Linked DNA regions of Arabidopsis thaliana. The protein of the gene in region 2 purifies or fractionates together with the protein of the main gene of each other region. This does not show direct contact. Each region holds a gene or a part of one and is shown on either strand. Other genes may lie near its edges. The genes, in order: WOL and FBR12.

Region 1 (8,029 bases), on a different chromosome or scaffold from region 2:
GAAATGTAGATCGAACACTTGTGTACGTAGAAAGATTACGTGACAACAACAACTAGTCCACTTTGCTGTTCGTTACGGTCACACATCAACCACATTTATTTCACTTACTTCTTTTTTCAATCATTTCTTAAATTCTCAATAATTCTAAAAATCAGATATTTGTCCAAACCTCTTTGGTGTAGTGGCACAAGGAAACTTTAACTCCTATACCTGAGTTTGATTTTTCATGAAAACAATAACAAATTTGTTTAGAAAGTCTCTCAGTTGTGATTTGGTCCAATTAATTTATTTGGTAGTTAGAAATGCAGACGGTATGATTATCCTTGGTATTAGTCGGAAGGCATTTCAAATTAGAACCTAACAGTGTGGTGATCCAATTCTACCTAAATCGGGAGAAATTCATTCTGTAGTATTTCGTTGCGTTCCTACTGAAACTGATAAAATAAGTCGATAGAGTATATAAAAAACAAACAAAAAGTCAGATATTTTCTATATACTCTTCTTGGACAAGTTCCTAATTCTTCTCATCCTTTATAGATTACATCGAGAGATCCGATTAAAGGGTTGTTGATTGGCTTTGGTTATCTCACTCGGTTTAGTGAGATCGACGAACCAATAGTAAAACGCAGTCGTTTTTAAGCTTTGCTCTGTTTCTGTTGTTTGAAAGCTCAAGTCGTCGACTGAGCTATAGCTAATGAAGAGTTGTTTGAGCTCTTTCTCTGATCTTCGTTCAACTAGCTAACCGATTTGGTTGCTAAACAAGCTCAAAAGATGAATCAAAATGGTCTCGTCTCAAGTTATAAGAAGATGTTATATATGGAAAAGTTATTATTAGAACATTACAATGTTTAAACGACTAACCAAATCTGATACAGTACAAACGATCCCGTGGGATTAATACTTACGCTAAGATCAACACTGAACCGTCGTCTTAGACGTTGTCGTTTAACAACATACACTAGTCATGGCAAGCTACATTACTTCGGTGAAAGAAAAAAAAACCTTCAAAATCTCTAGATTGTGAACCTACTGTATGTACAGAAACCAAAATGCATATCAATCAGCAGAATCGGTCCACTCTTCCGGCTGCGGAGAGAGAAAAAAAACTCGCCGGAAGATTGGATTACGACGAAGGTGAGATAGGATTAGGTTTGAATGATTTGGCAACGGATTTATAGAGATTCTCTTCTTCAAAAGGTTTGGAGACGTAACCATCCATCCCACTTTTCAGACATTCCTCGTAGGTCGCGTGTATCACATCCGCAGTCATCGCTAGAATCGGTAAATGCCATTCGAGATTTGTCTTCTCTTTAGTTTCCTTCTCCATCATTCTTATCTGACGAGTTGCTTCAAATCTGAGAATCAATGAAGTTTATAAAAGATTTTAACCGAATCCGAACCAAACCAAGTCAGTTATAATTTGGCGGGAAATTTTTCATACCGAACAATTCAAAAACCGAATAATCCAAAAATAGTATTAGTTGTGATTTAGTTACCCGTCCATCTGTGGCATTTGAATATCCATGAAGCAAGCATCGAAAGTGTGTGGAATCTGAAGCAAACCCAAAGCAACTTGACCACTCTCTGCACAAACCACTTCTGCTCCAAATTTCTTGAGAGCTCCTGCAGCTACTCTCCTGTTAACTATATTATCATCAACCACAAGAATCTTCTTCCCTGTAAGCAAGCTCTTGAGAGTTGCGGGTGATGATCCTTCTGGATGTTGTTGTCTTGTTTTTCTCAGCTCGAGAACTTGTTGCAGACACGCCCCAATCATGCTTGCTCTTAACGGTTTCATTATTACCGTATCTGCAAATCCTGCGGATTTAGCTCTGTCGAACTCCGAATTTGTGATGTTTGTTGCGAATAGAGCTAGTTTCGGAGACTTGTGATGAACGTTTCCGTTGGTTCTTGAATTCAATAAACGAATCTCTGAGTCATTATCTTCAGTTGAAATCCATGAATCTTTCTCTACTAAGATCATATCAAGTTGCGGTTTTGTTGGGAGAGGAGAACCGTTTCTTTCAAACGCAGCAGCTGCAACAACAGCGGTTTTGAGACTTGTCACGACATCAACATTGATTCCGAGTCTTTTCATATGGTATCTAGTCACAGCAGCTCTAACAGGCTTAGCATCAACAACTATAGCTTTCATTCCTTTAAAAGTAGAAGGCAAGTGTTCCACATTAGGTTTCTTCATATGGTTAATCGCACTGCATTTATCGCATTTCTCTAAAACAGCCGTGAACCAGAACGTGCTTCCAATATGAGGCCGGCTTATGAAATTTATCTGACCACGCATAAGTTCAACAAGACACTTGCTTATACTCAAACCAATACCAGTACCTCCATAGTTTCTTGAAGTCGAGCTATCTGCTTGCATAAACGGCATAAACACACGGCCTTGCGCAACTAAAGGGATTCCAATACCCGTGTCTTCGATTGAAACCATAAGCCTAACATTGCTAGAAATATCAAACTCCGATAATGACTGCTCCTCAGAGACCAAATGCTTGAATGAATCCCAGCTATTCCGACCATCAGCAGCTTCGTAACCGCTCAATGTGTTGTAACTTGACTGTTTGGAAACAACGATCATTTCTTCAGACACTCCACCATTCAATGCATTTTTCGGTTCAGATTCATCTTTTGATTGTTCCGCAAGATGGACTTTAACAAAGATATGTCCTTTCTCTGTGAACTGTCAAAAAGACAACATCTTGATCAAACAAAAATCATATACACAAGCTGCCAACAAAGGCAGAGATTGAAATAGGGACTAACTTTAACCGAATTTCCAACAAGGTTTATGATTATCTGTCTAAATCTCCCTGAATCTCCTTTGACTATCTCTGGTACTTTGTCTGAAACGAAAACCGCGAGCTGCCAAATTTGAAATCAAGAAATTAGCAGCCACAACTCCAAATAGATGTATCTTTATTCCTTGGATTGAAAACTTACCTCAATGCTTTTGTTCCTTGACTCCTCAGAGAATAGAGAAAGGACATCATCCAATATTGAACGGATATCAAATGGTACTGATTCCAACTCCAGCTTTCCAGCTTCAATCTTGGCGCGATCAAGAACCTCATTTATCAATGCAATCAAAGCTTTACCACATACTTGAGCGGTTTGAGCGTAATCTCTCTGTGTCGAGCTTAGTTCTGTATCTAGGAGCATAGCAAGCATTCCTGCAGAAAATTTTTAAAACAGAATCTTTGAGGCAGTTTGAGAAACCAAAGATGAAAGGCAACAGTACTGGAATTTGTTTGAAGATGTAGTACCGAGAATGCCATTCATTGGTGTCCTGATCTCGTGAGACACGGTAGCAAGAAACTGCGATTTAGCGACATCAGCAGCTTCTGCTCGAACTTTAAGCTCTTGCATTTCATGGAAATCATCTTCGACTTTTACTATGTGCATAGCTGCACCATACAGTATATAACCCACCAAGAAACCAATCGCAAAGAACAATGGCACAGTTGTGAGCACATTCAACGGTATTGGTGCCTTTTGGTGGTACCTGCACTCGAAATTGTTCAAACAAGATATCAGTTTTTAGATATCAGAGAGTATTTTAGCTTTAAGATTTTCTGTGTGGTACCTGCATATCATCTTATGTTTCCTGAAGGGGTCTCCAAAATCGAGCTTGCTCTCATGAGAGAGAGATCTGTCGGCTTCTTCATCTTGATTACCATACATGACAAGTGGATCTGATGCATTGGTGATATCATACACATGCACAACTATTGCTTGGTTACCAGCAAGCTGACCAAGTAAATTCTCGACTAGAGACTCCACATCAAACGCACCACCAAGGTACCTGCATTTCAAATTCAAGCATCAATCTTTACTTTACACACAAACCAATCTTGAAATCTCAAAAAACCTCTTTCCTTTACATGATCACACACATAAACCAATCATGAAATCTCGAAAATCTCTTTTTACATGATCACAAGCAAAAGTTTGCTCCAGTAATCAGATGGGAACTTTACCCTGCAGTGGCTGCAATACGCTCTTCGACAGTCGGATTTTCAGGAAGAGAAGACTTGTAGACAGGGAATGTCAACACAACTCCGAGATGGTGAGTTTCCAACAACCTAAAAGGGCTAGTCAAGACAGCTTTTCCGGTTTCTCTAGCTCGCAAAATATTCTCACGATCCTCCTGCAGAAAAGATAGCCAAAATTCAGAAGAGGTGCAGGTCGGATACTTAACCGAAAAAACAAAACCATAAGTGTCTGATAATGTTTATATTACCTCGCCTGACATCATATCGAGTGACTCAAGGTAAGAGACACTATCTTGAGAGAATATAACAGGAGCATACTCATCCCTAACCGGTGAAGGCTCTCCTCTATCCATTGTCTTTATAACCCAATTGTGCTGCCGCTCAAACATCTCCCTCTCAAAATTCACAACTTTTTCAGCATAAGCCACTCCACTTAGCAACGGTCTCTCAAATGCTGTTCTTGCCGTGTACTCCGCAAATGTCTCCTGCAAAATTAGCCACAAACCAATGAGTAAAGCAAAGGCCTAAATTTCCCTTCATTTACTCAATAACCAAACATAAAAGAGTAAATTTCAAAAACTTCTGGTTCCAAAAAAAGTCAACTTTGCATTTATGAATCAAAAATTTCACCAAAGCTTTGAGCTTTTAATAAAGCACACACTGACCTGATCAATTGCAGAAGGGTTCTTGTGGTAATGAAAAGTGGAGACGAGAATAGCCAAAGCATGAACATGATTAACACTAACACTAAATTGATCCTGCAACATTCTAGCTCTTTGATCACACATGCTGACCAAAACCTCTTCCCTTCTAATCTTATTAGCATCATCCATCCACTGATAAATCCCACTGCTTATAAACCCAACAATGATGATCCACAGAATCAAAGCTTTTGGTAACAATGCTCGATGTTCTTGTATGAAAGTTGACCCTTTTTTATTACCCATTAGATCGTTATTATTATTATTGTTCATCTTCACCGCCACTGAATGCTGAAGCTGTTGCTGCTGCTGCATCTTCGCAAAACCCATCAACCCCGAACGCCAAAAATCGATCTTTCTCGGCTTTTCTGACGAATTCAGAGCACCACCACCACCCAGTTGATAAAAATCGCTGCTTTTCAAGTTTTCTAGTGACTCGGAATCAGAAATTTCAATTCTTCGTGGCTCTTCTTCTTCTTCTTGATGATTGTTGAGTGCCCAGTTCATATCTGAGCTACAACAATAGAGAACAAAAGAAGAAACAATAGTGAAAGAAAACAAAAGTTAGAGCCTTTTTTGCATACATATAACATAAAAGCATTGGTAGTGTAGTTATGATTAAGAATGTTACCATAAACATAGTTTATAGTACAGAAACAAACCCTAGAAACCTGTAGACGAAAAAGGACATGTTTTTGCGAATTCAAGAACAAAAGAGAGAAAGAAACGCATGGTTCTCAAAAGAAGCAACTTTGCTCAGTTTCCAAAGGTTTCTTACAGAGAAGAATTAAAAACTAAGTAATTATTGTCAGAGAAATTAATTAATACTAAAAAACACACTAATCAATCATAAGCTCTTTACAGGCGTGATTGTTTATTATTGGAACAAGAACATAGCTATGTTCACTGTCTCAAATCCAACAATAGAAAAAAAATTAAAGCTTTGACCAAAGAAAGAAAGAACACAGAGAGAAACATAACATTAGGAAGAACGACTAATAAGCAAGCACATGGAGAAATTATTTTAGTTACCTGTAATGAGTTGTGAGAGGATTGAACATTGCATTATTATTATACACAAAATCTCTTCTCATCACTTCAAATGTAGGTATTCCATTTTCTTTCTTCTTTCTTCTTCTTTTGTTTTAGTGAGATTTTTTGCTTTTAAAAGTAAGAAAAAAATTGAATCGAATTTTTTAGATTTTCTTCAGATACGTTTCTCTCTCTCTGTGTCTCTGTCTATATCAGTTTTTTGCCATGAACTTTCTTTTCATTTTTATATCTCTCTAGCTCTTTTTTCTTTTTCTAACTTGAGTCCAACTTTGAAGAAGAAAAGTTTTGGACTTTTTCTTAATGGCTCATGATATGATCCATCCAACAAAAGTTATTATTTTACCCAAAATCTCCTCAAAGTTAACATTATTATACGAAATAGATATATTTTCTCTAACCGAATTGTCGGTATTTACTGTGTATTTAGAGAAATTGCAAAGCGACAATGAAGAATTCACAAACTTCTCTTTATCTATAATTTTTTATAATGCTAATATAAAAGCGTATAATTTGGCGCGGAAGATCCGCACCGAACCGCATCATATCACATTTGTAAATAATATCCCTCAGGATTGGTTTACTTGAGCTTTAATAATTTTGGATGACAAAAAAAAAAATATAATTATTGTGACACTAACTAGGTTTGTCTTACTAATTAAAACATCTTTAAAACTACATTTATTCAATTTCATTACATTTCTTATACATCATTTAACATTTAAAGTAACATTTACCATGTTTAAATTTCTTGAATAAGTGAAGTAATATATAGTCACCAACTTCTCAAAATTTATTATCTATTTTTTCCTTGGTATAAATAAGTTTTCTGAACTTTAGAAATAAAACGTTTTGTTTTGTTTTTTTACTTACACCAAAAGGAAAATAAAACGTTTTTTTGTTGAAATATAAGAAAACAAAAAATATAGGTGAGTGAGAGACTTTGTACGAGAGTCGCTATCGCATATCTTTGGCGATAATGACATCGCGACAAAGCGCAGATCTGGCCCCATAGACCTTTTACCTGAAATACCCACCATTCTAGTCTCTTAACTACGAAAATACCCCGGTTAAATGGGCCTGACTCATAAGCCCATGATTTATCCACGTGTAATTCTTAAGACAATTGCATGAGTTGATTCAGGAGATTTTAGAATTCAAAATTTATGAATAACAATCAAATTATTTATTTACTACTAGTATTATACGGTAAACTATTTTTTATATTATTTAGAGTGTTTCTTTTTTTTGTAATAGCAAATTGTTATGACCTAACCACAAATTTAAAATGCTCATGAATTTCTAAAAACGTTAAAAACAAAAAATCATTAAATTATTACATGTTTGAGGCAATAGTAAATCAATCCCATTAAATTAGTACCATATTAAATGATAACATAGTTATGAGTTTTATAATGAAAAATACAGAAAAAAACATAGAGCTATTATTAAAGATACATGAAAATATTATTATTACCTTATATGTGTAGATGGAAACTGACGTGGGTTGTGTAGCTTTCTCTCGTGCGCTTAGAGACAGTAGCTTCTATAACTACATGATATTTGAGAGAAGTTTTTGAATATTCAAATGGATTTTAGGAACACTTGTATGGTTCCTTTGAAATATGCAGAATTAGAACTTAAAGCAAGATTGATAAACATAGAGAAGATACGTGTTTGGGATACCTTAATTTCATGGCTTGATCAGAAGCTTTCAGTCATAGATGAATGCAGTGTAGTTTCTTTTTCCGCTATTGATTCTTTGATCGCTGCACATGTCACAGAATTTTAGTAATGATTTTTGTTACAGATTTCTATATATGTTTATAACAGAGGCCAGTGAAACTCACATTGTGCTCTTCCGAGAAAGAAAAAACAAACAATGAATCTGGAATAAAGTGAAATTAACCTAAGAAAAATAGAAGACAATAAACTTGGATCGAATACCATTTTTTCTATACAATTTCATATCGATGGATCTGGGAATGATTTTTTTTTTTTTTTGGAGGAAGCAAGAGCAAGAGATAGATTTAACGTGAATTGGATTTTTGTAGAGGAAGATAAAACGGTTTGGAAAATCTTGAGTTGGTTACAAATTTCCAAAGATAATGATGGTGTGGTGTGTGAGAAAATCTAGGAATATTTTTTTGTTTTTAAATATGTAGAAAAAAAAAATGAGCGTTTTTTTTTTAAAAAATTTTAAATAATTCTTTAAATTATAAACAAATCTTATGTGGCATAATTTTATTGGGCAAGGGACTTGTA
Region 2 (4,289 bases):
TAACAGTTCATGCAGCTGTTGGAGAAGATGGAAGCTGGAAGGTTGTGAATCCACTGTTGGAGCACACAGACAAGAAAGGTAAACGAAAGAACCAATGTTGTAAAACTATGCAATACAATAAGTCTGAGGGATTTGTTAAAAGTTCAAACCTCTCTGATTTTTGGAATCAAACAGTTGACTACTCTGTTGCGGCGCACGATACAACCGGTGGAATGGAAACGAAGATATCAGAAGCTGCTATGATTGCAAAACTTGGAGTCGATGTCTACATTGTGAAGGTAGATTATAGACAACTTTTGCCTTTAACCAACTAAATATCTTAGATAAAGATGGAGCTTTTAACCGCCATCATGCTCTTTTTTTCAATCTCCTCAAACAGGCTGCGACAACTCATTCACAGAGAGCACTAAACGGTGATTTGAGAGATAGTGTTCCTGAAGATTGGCTTGGTACTATCATCAGATTCTCAAAGTAGAATAATCTCCTGACAAATACACTAATTCCAGTTCCTCAACAAAGGAAAGCATTGACCTTTTCTTGCTATTACTGTTTTACCAGACTTTGTGCAAGGAATACAAAATCGTGTAATGTCAAAACCAGTTAAAATGTCGAATACTATCGCAGCCTGTGTAACTCTATGTTTCCACAAGTATTCAATCACATATCTTACACTGTTATTGTTAAATAAAATGTATATGTCACTCTTGAATCGTGCAAATAGCAATGAATATCATGTAAAGAGTTGCTTAAAACAAGCTTCATGAACAAACATATCCAGTGAACAAACAAAAAGTGGTTTTAAGAATAACATCTCATAAGAAACTTTGAATGTTTCAACACAAACTTTTCCAACAATCCAAAACCAATAGATATGGTTGTCTTGCAACAAGAAACACACACAAAGGGTCTAAATTAGGAAAAAGAAAAACATCTTTTGGTTCTTATAACATTGACGTCCGTTGTCAAACTGGTAATAATATATCGAATGATACTTGTTTACTTGCCACCACCAACTTCCTTGACGGCACAGATCTGCTCCTCTCCCATGGAAGACATGACAGACACCACAATATCCTTTCCCTCATCGAATCCAAGCCTCATCTGCATTAACAAAACACAACAACTGTTTTCAATATCACAATTCGAGAGATGAATACAAAGTCAAGTCATTTGTGTGCGAGTATGAAAAGACAAGAAAATAACCTGGGCGGTGAGACCATCATCGGTGGGAAGCTTGAGATCATCCTTGGTGCCACCACTGTCAGTGAGAAGGCTCACCTATAATGTAAACAAGTACAAAAGTTATGGCAAGAATAGATAAATAAAGCTGGAGTGATGAGGAAAGTGAGTATAAAGAAAAACATACGAAGCCATCCTCAGTGATATCAATCAACTGGTAATCAACACGGTTCACATGTGGAACCTGAGAAAAAAAGAGAAAGGAACAATATTTGAGTCAGATCACACAATCATATCAAATACTGTGAAAATGAATCTACATAGTTTGTGTAGTAACTTACATCACAATTGTGGGAAGATGGAACAATATCTTCAAGCTTCTTAGCAGTGAAGATATCAATAGCAACAAAGTGACATTTGGCGTGACCGTGCTTGCCAGTTTTGGAAGTCGAAACCTCAACAACCTAATCAAAACCAAAATATCAAAATCAAATCTATGTTCTCCATAAACGTTTAAATCAAATCAATCAATAGACTACTTAGATTCAAAATCACAAAAGGCGTCGTCTGATATTGCTTGATTTCTATCCATTTTTCATTTTCATTTCCCAAAATTCCACGAATCTAGAGAGGTACCACCATCAAAATAACAGGATAAGATTCATCATATTCATCTAAGTAGCGATCTATAAGAAAAATTCAAACTAAACAGAACCAGGTCAAATCCGAGGATAAAAACAAAATCAAGGAGCTACTATACAGAGACGAGATCTAGAATCAGGAAAAAGAGATCGAGAACGATGTTTGATGATGAAATAGAAATCAGACCTTGCAGGGACGGTTTTTGATGACGATGTGACCACCTTTACGGATGTTACCGGCTGATTGAGGATAGGTCTTGGAAGCTCCGGATTCGCTGGCCTCAAAGTGGTGCTCGTCGTCAGACATGTTTTCACAGAAATTTGAGAGAAGAAAGGTTTTCGGAGAAGATGAGATTGGGAGAAGGGAAAAAAAACCTAAGAGAGAGAAGTGAGCAAAAGCGATGTCGATTTTTTTTATATAGGAGGGGAAGAGGAAGGTGGAGGAAACCTTTCTAGGGTTACTGTATTATTATCCTTAGGAATGTTGTGGTGGGTAAAAACAATTCAGCCCAGCCCAAACTCAAAACAGGCCTCTTCATAAAAAAAAAAGGATTCAAAAAAACTGTATTTTATATAGATATTTTAAATTGTATTTATTTCTGTATTTGACATATATATTATATTCACTGTCATATGTATTTAAATTGAATCATGTATTTTGTATTTTGTATAAAAAACTTTATTTGTTACCCTTAATTGATTTTAATTCTTTAATTTAATCAAAGTTTCTAACAAATTTATAAATCCAAAATTCACTCAAACATTAATAATTTAAAAGATTATACAAAACAGAATTTCATCAAAGATTCTAATTTAAAACAGAAATACAAAAGTAGTGAAAAAATCTAAACAACTTCTAACATGGGTCTAAACTCTTTCCGAACATCAAACTTTAAGCGTTTATTAGAGTTAAATACCGTAGTAGCTGCTTGAGTAGATTGTGTTTCACTTTGTGTTGCTTCTCCTTAATTGTTTGCCTTCTCATTCATTGACATTTACTCATTCTCAGCATCCAAAGCTGCCAAAGTTTCTCTAGTTTGATAATTTATCCTATTTCTCAGCTGTTGGATTATAATCTCTCAACGATTTAGATTTTCCCGATTTTATTTTTTTCTCTCTCTTGCATCTCTCGCGTGCATTCCATGCGGCCCCACTTTAGCTTGTGACATCTAATTCCTCATATTACAGACTACATAACTAAAAAAATAGAGTTTTTTTTTACTCTAAAGGCGAGATTTAATTTTCAAAAAAAAAAATTCAGTTACATGAAATCTAGAATTATTTTTTGATTTAATAACTAAACTTAAAATGTAAAAAAAATAATTTAAAATTTTTAAGATATAGTAAAGAAATTATTTTTTTGTATTATTAATTAAAAATATTAACTTTTTCATTACAAAATAAATCACTACAATTAAATCCAATACACATGAGTATATGAATTTCATAAGAAACGAATATGAAAAACAATTGAGTATATAACTTTTTAGTCTAAATTTTGCACGATAAATTTTAAAATCAAAATTAAATTTAAATAAATATTTAATCAAATAAAAGTTAATATTTAATTGATAATATAACAAAAAAAAGCTAACTATTGATTAAAAATAGTAGTTTGATGCAACACTCAAGAGATCTTCAGTTTTGGTTATAGCTAGGGGTGTCAAAATAAGCTGATAGCTCATGAGCTGGCTCAACTCGGCTCAGTTATTCATGAGCGCGAGTTCTATTTTTAAGGATCATTTAATAAATGAGTTTAGTGATCGAGCTTTATTTAGCTCACGAGTTATATGAGCGAGCTTTAATGAACATGAGCTTGGTTTTTTTGAAGTAATATATACAAAAAGCTAACAATCAAAGTATATATATATTTTTCTATAAATAATAGAAATATATTTTAGAAAATATAGAAGTTACATAACAATTTCTGAAAATAAATATTAGTAATATACACAAAAAGTCAATAATCAAAACATAAATATTTATATAATCTATAAAAATAGAAATATATTTTTAAAAATATATAATTTACATAACAAGTTTAGAAAATATAAATTTTTTCATTTATTCGCATTAGCTCGCGAGCTAGCTCATTTAGCTCGTGATTTAGATGATCTGAGTCCGAGTTTGTATTTTGAAGCTCATATAATAAATGAGTTGAGCTGAGCTGGCTCATAAAAGATCCAAGTTCATCATGAGGTGAGCTGAGCTGAGCGAGCTGGCTCATTTTGACAATTATAGCCCTATAGACTAAGACTTGATGCTATTTTGGGCTTTTAGGAAGCTAAATCAAAGAGCATTTACGGCCCATTATGCTTGATGATATTTTGGGTATTTGGGAAACAAAACCAAATTCGAAAACCTCCACGAACATCTCCAGAAATGAGTTGCGTACTTGGAATGGGCTATATGGGACTGATCATTTACGGCCCATTATCTTTCATATATAAAAATTTGATATTTTTCGTA

The links.
Region 1: the proteins of FBR12 (region 2) and WOL purify together in Arabidopsis thaliana (affinity purification with western blotting, with the first as the bait; one study listed by BioGRID). This does not show direct contact.

Annotation. Positions count from the first base shown.
Region 1 is NC_003071.7:362,209-370,237, forward strand, and holds WOL (CHASE domain containing histidine kinase protein), read right to left. Parts: upstream 6,150-8,029; 5' UTR 5,809-6,149; coding exon 5,747-5,808; exon of another isoform or gene 5,229-5,746; coding exon 4,679-5,228; intron 4,499-4,678; coding exon 4,262-4,498; intron 4,169-4,261; coding exon 3,999-4,168; intron 3,824-3,998; coding exon 3,605-3,823; intron 3,524-3,604; coding exon 3,285-3,523; intron 3,192-3,284; coding exon 2,962-3,191; intron 2,884-2,961; coding exon 2,785-2,883; intron 2,702-2,784; coding exon 1,497-2,701; intron 1,356-1,496; coding exon 1,124-1,355; 3' UTR 775-1,123; downstream 1-774. UniProt on the Arabidopsis thaliana protein: Cytokinins (CK) receptor related to bacterial two-component regulators. Also binds the synthetic urea-type cytokinin thidiazuron, a potent defoliant and herbicide. Functions as a histidine kinase and transmits the stress signal to a downstream MAPK cascade.
Region 2 is NC_003070.9:9,203,806-9,208,094, reverse strand, and holds FBR12 (Eukaryotic translation initiation factor 5A-1 (eIF-5A 1) protein), read right to left. Parts: upstream 2,296-4,289; 5' UTR 2,128-2,295; coding exon 2,008-2,127; intron 1,644-2,007; coding exon 1,521-1,643; intron 1,424-1,520; coding exon 1,367-1,423; intron 1,279-1,366; coding exon 1,204-1,278; intron 1,124-1,203; coding exon of another isoform or gene 1,102-1,123; coding exon 997-1,101; 3' UTR 678-996; downstream 1-677. Other genes in the region: AT1G26640 (Amino acid kinase family protein), read left to right, coding at 16-78, 175-278, 380-475. UniProt on the Arabidopsis thaliana protein: Translation factor that promotes translation elongation and termination, particularly upon ribosome stalling at specific amino acid sequence contexts.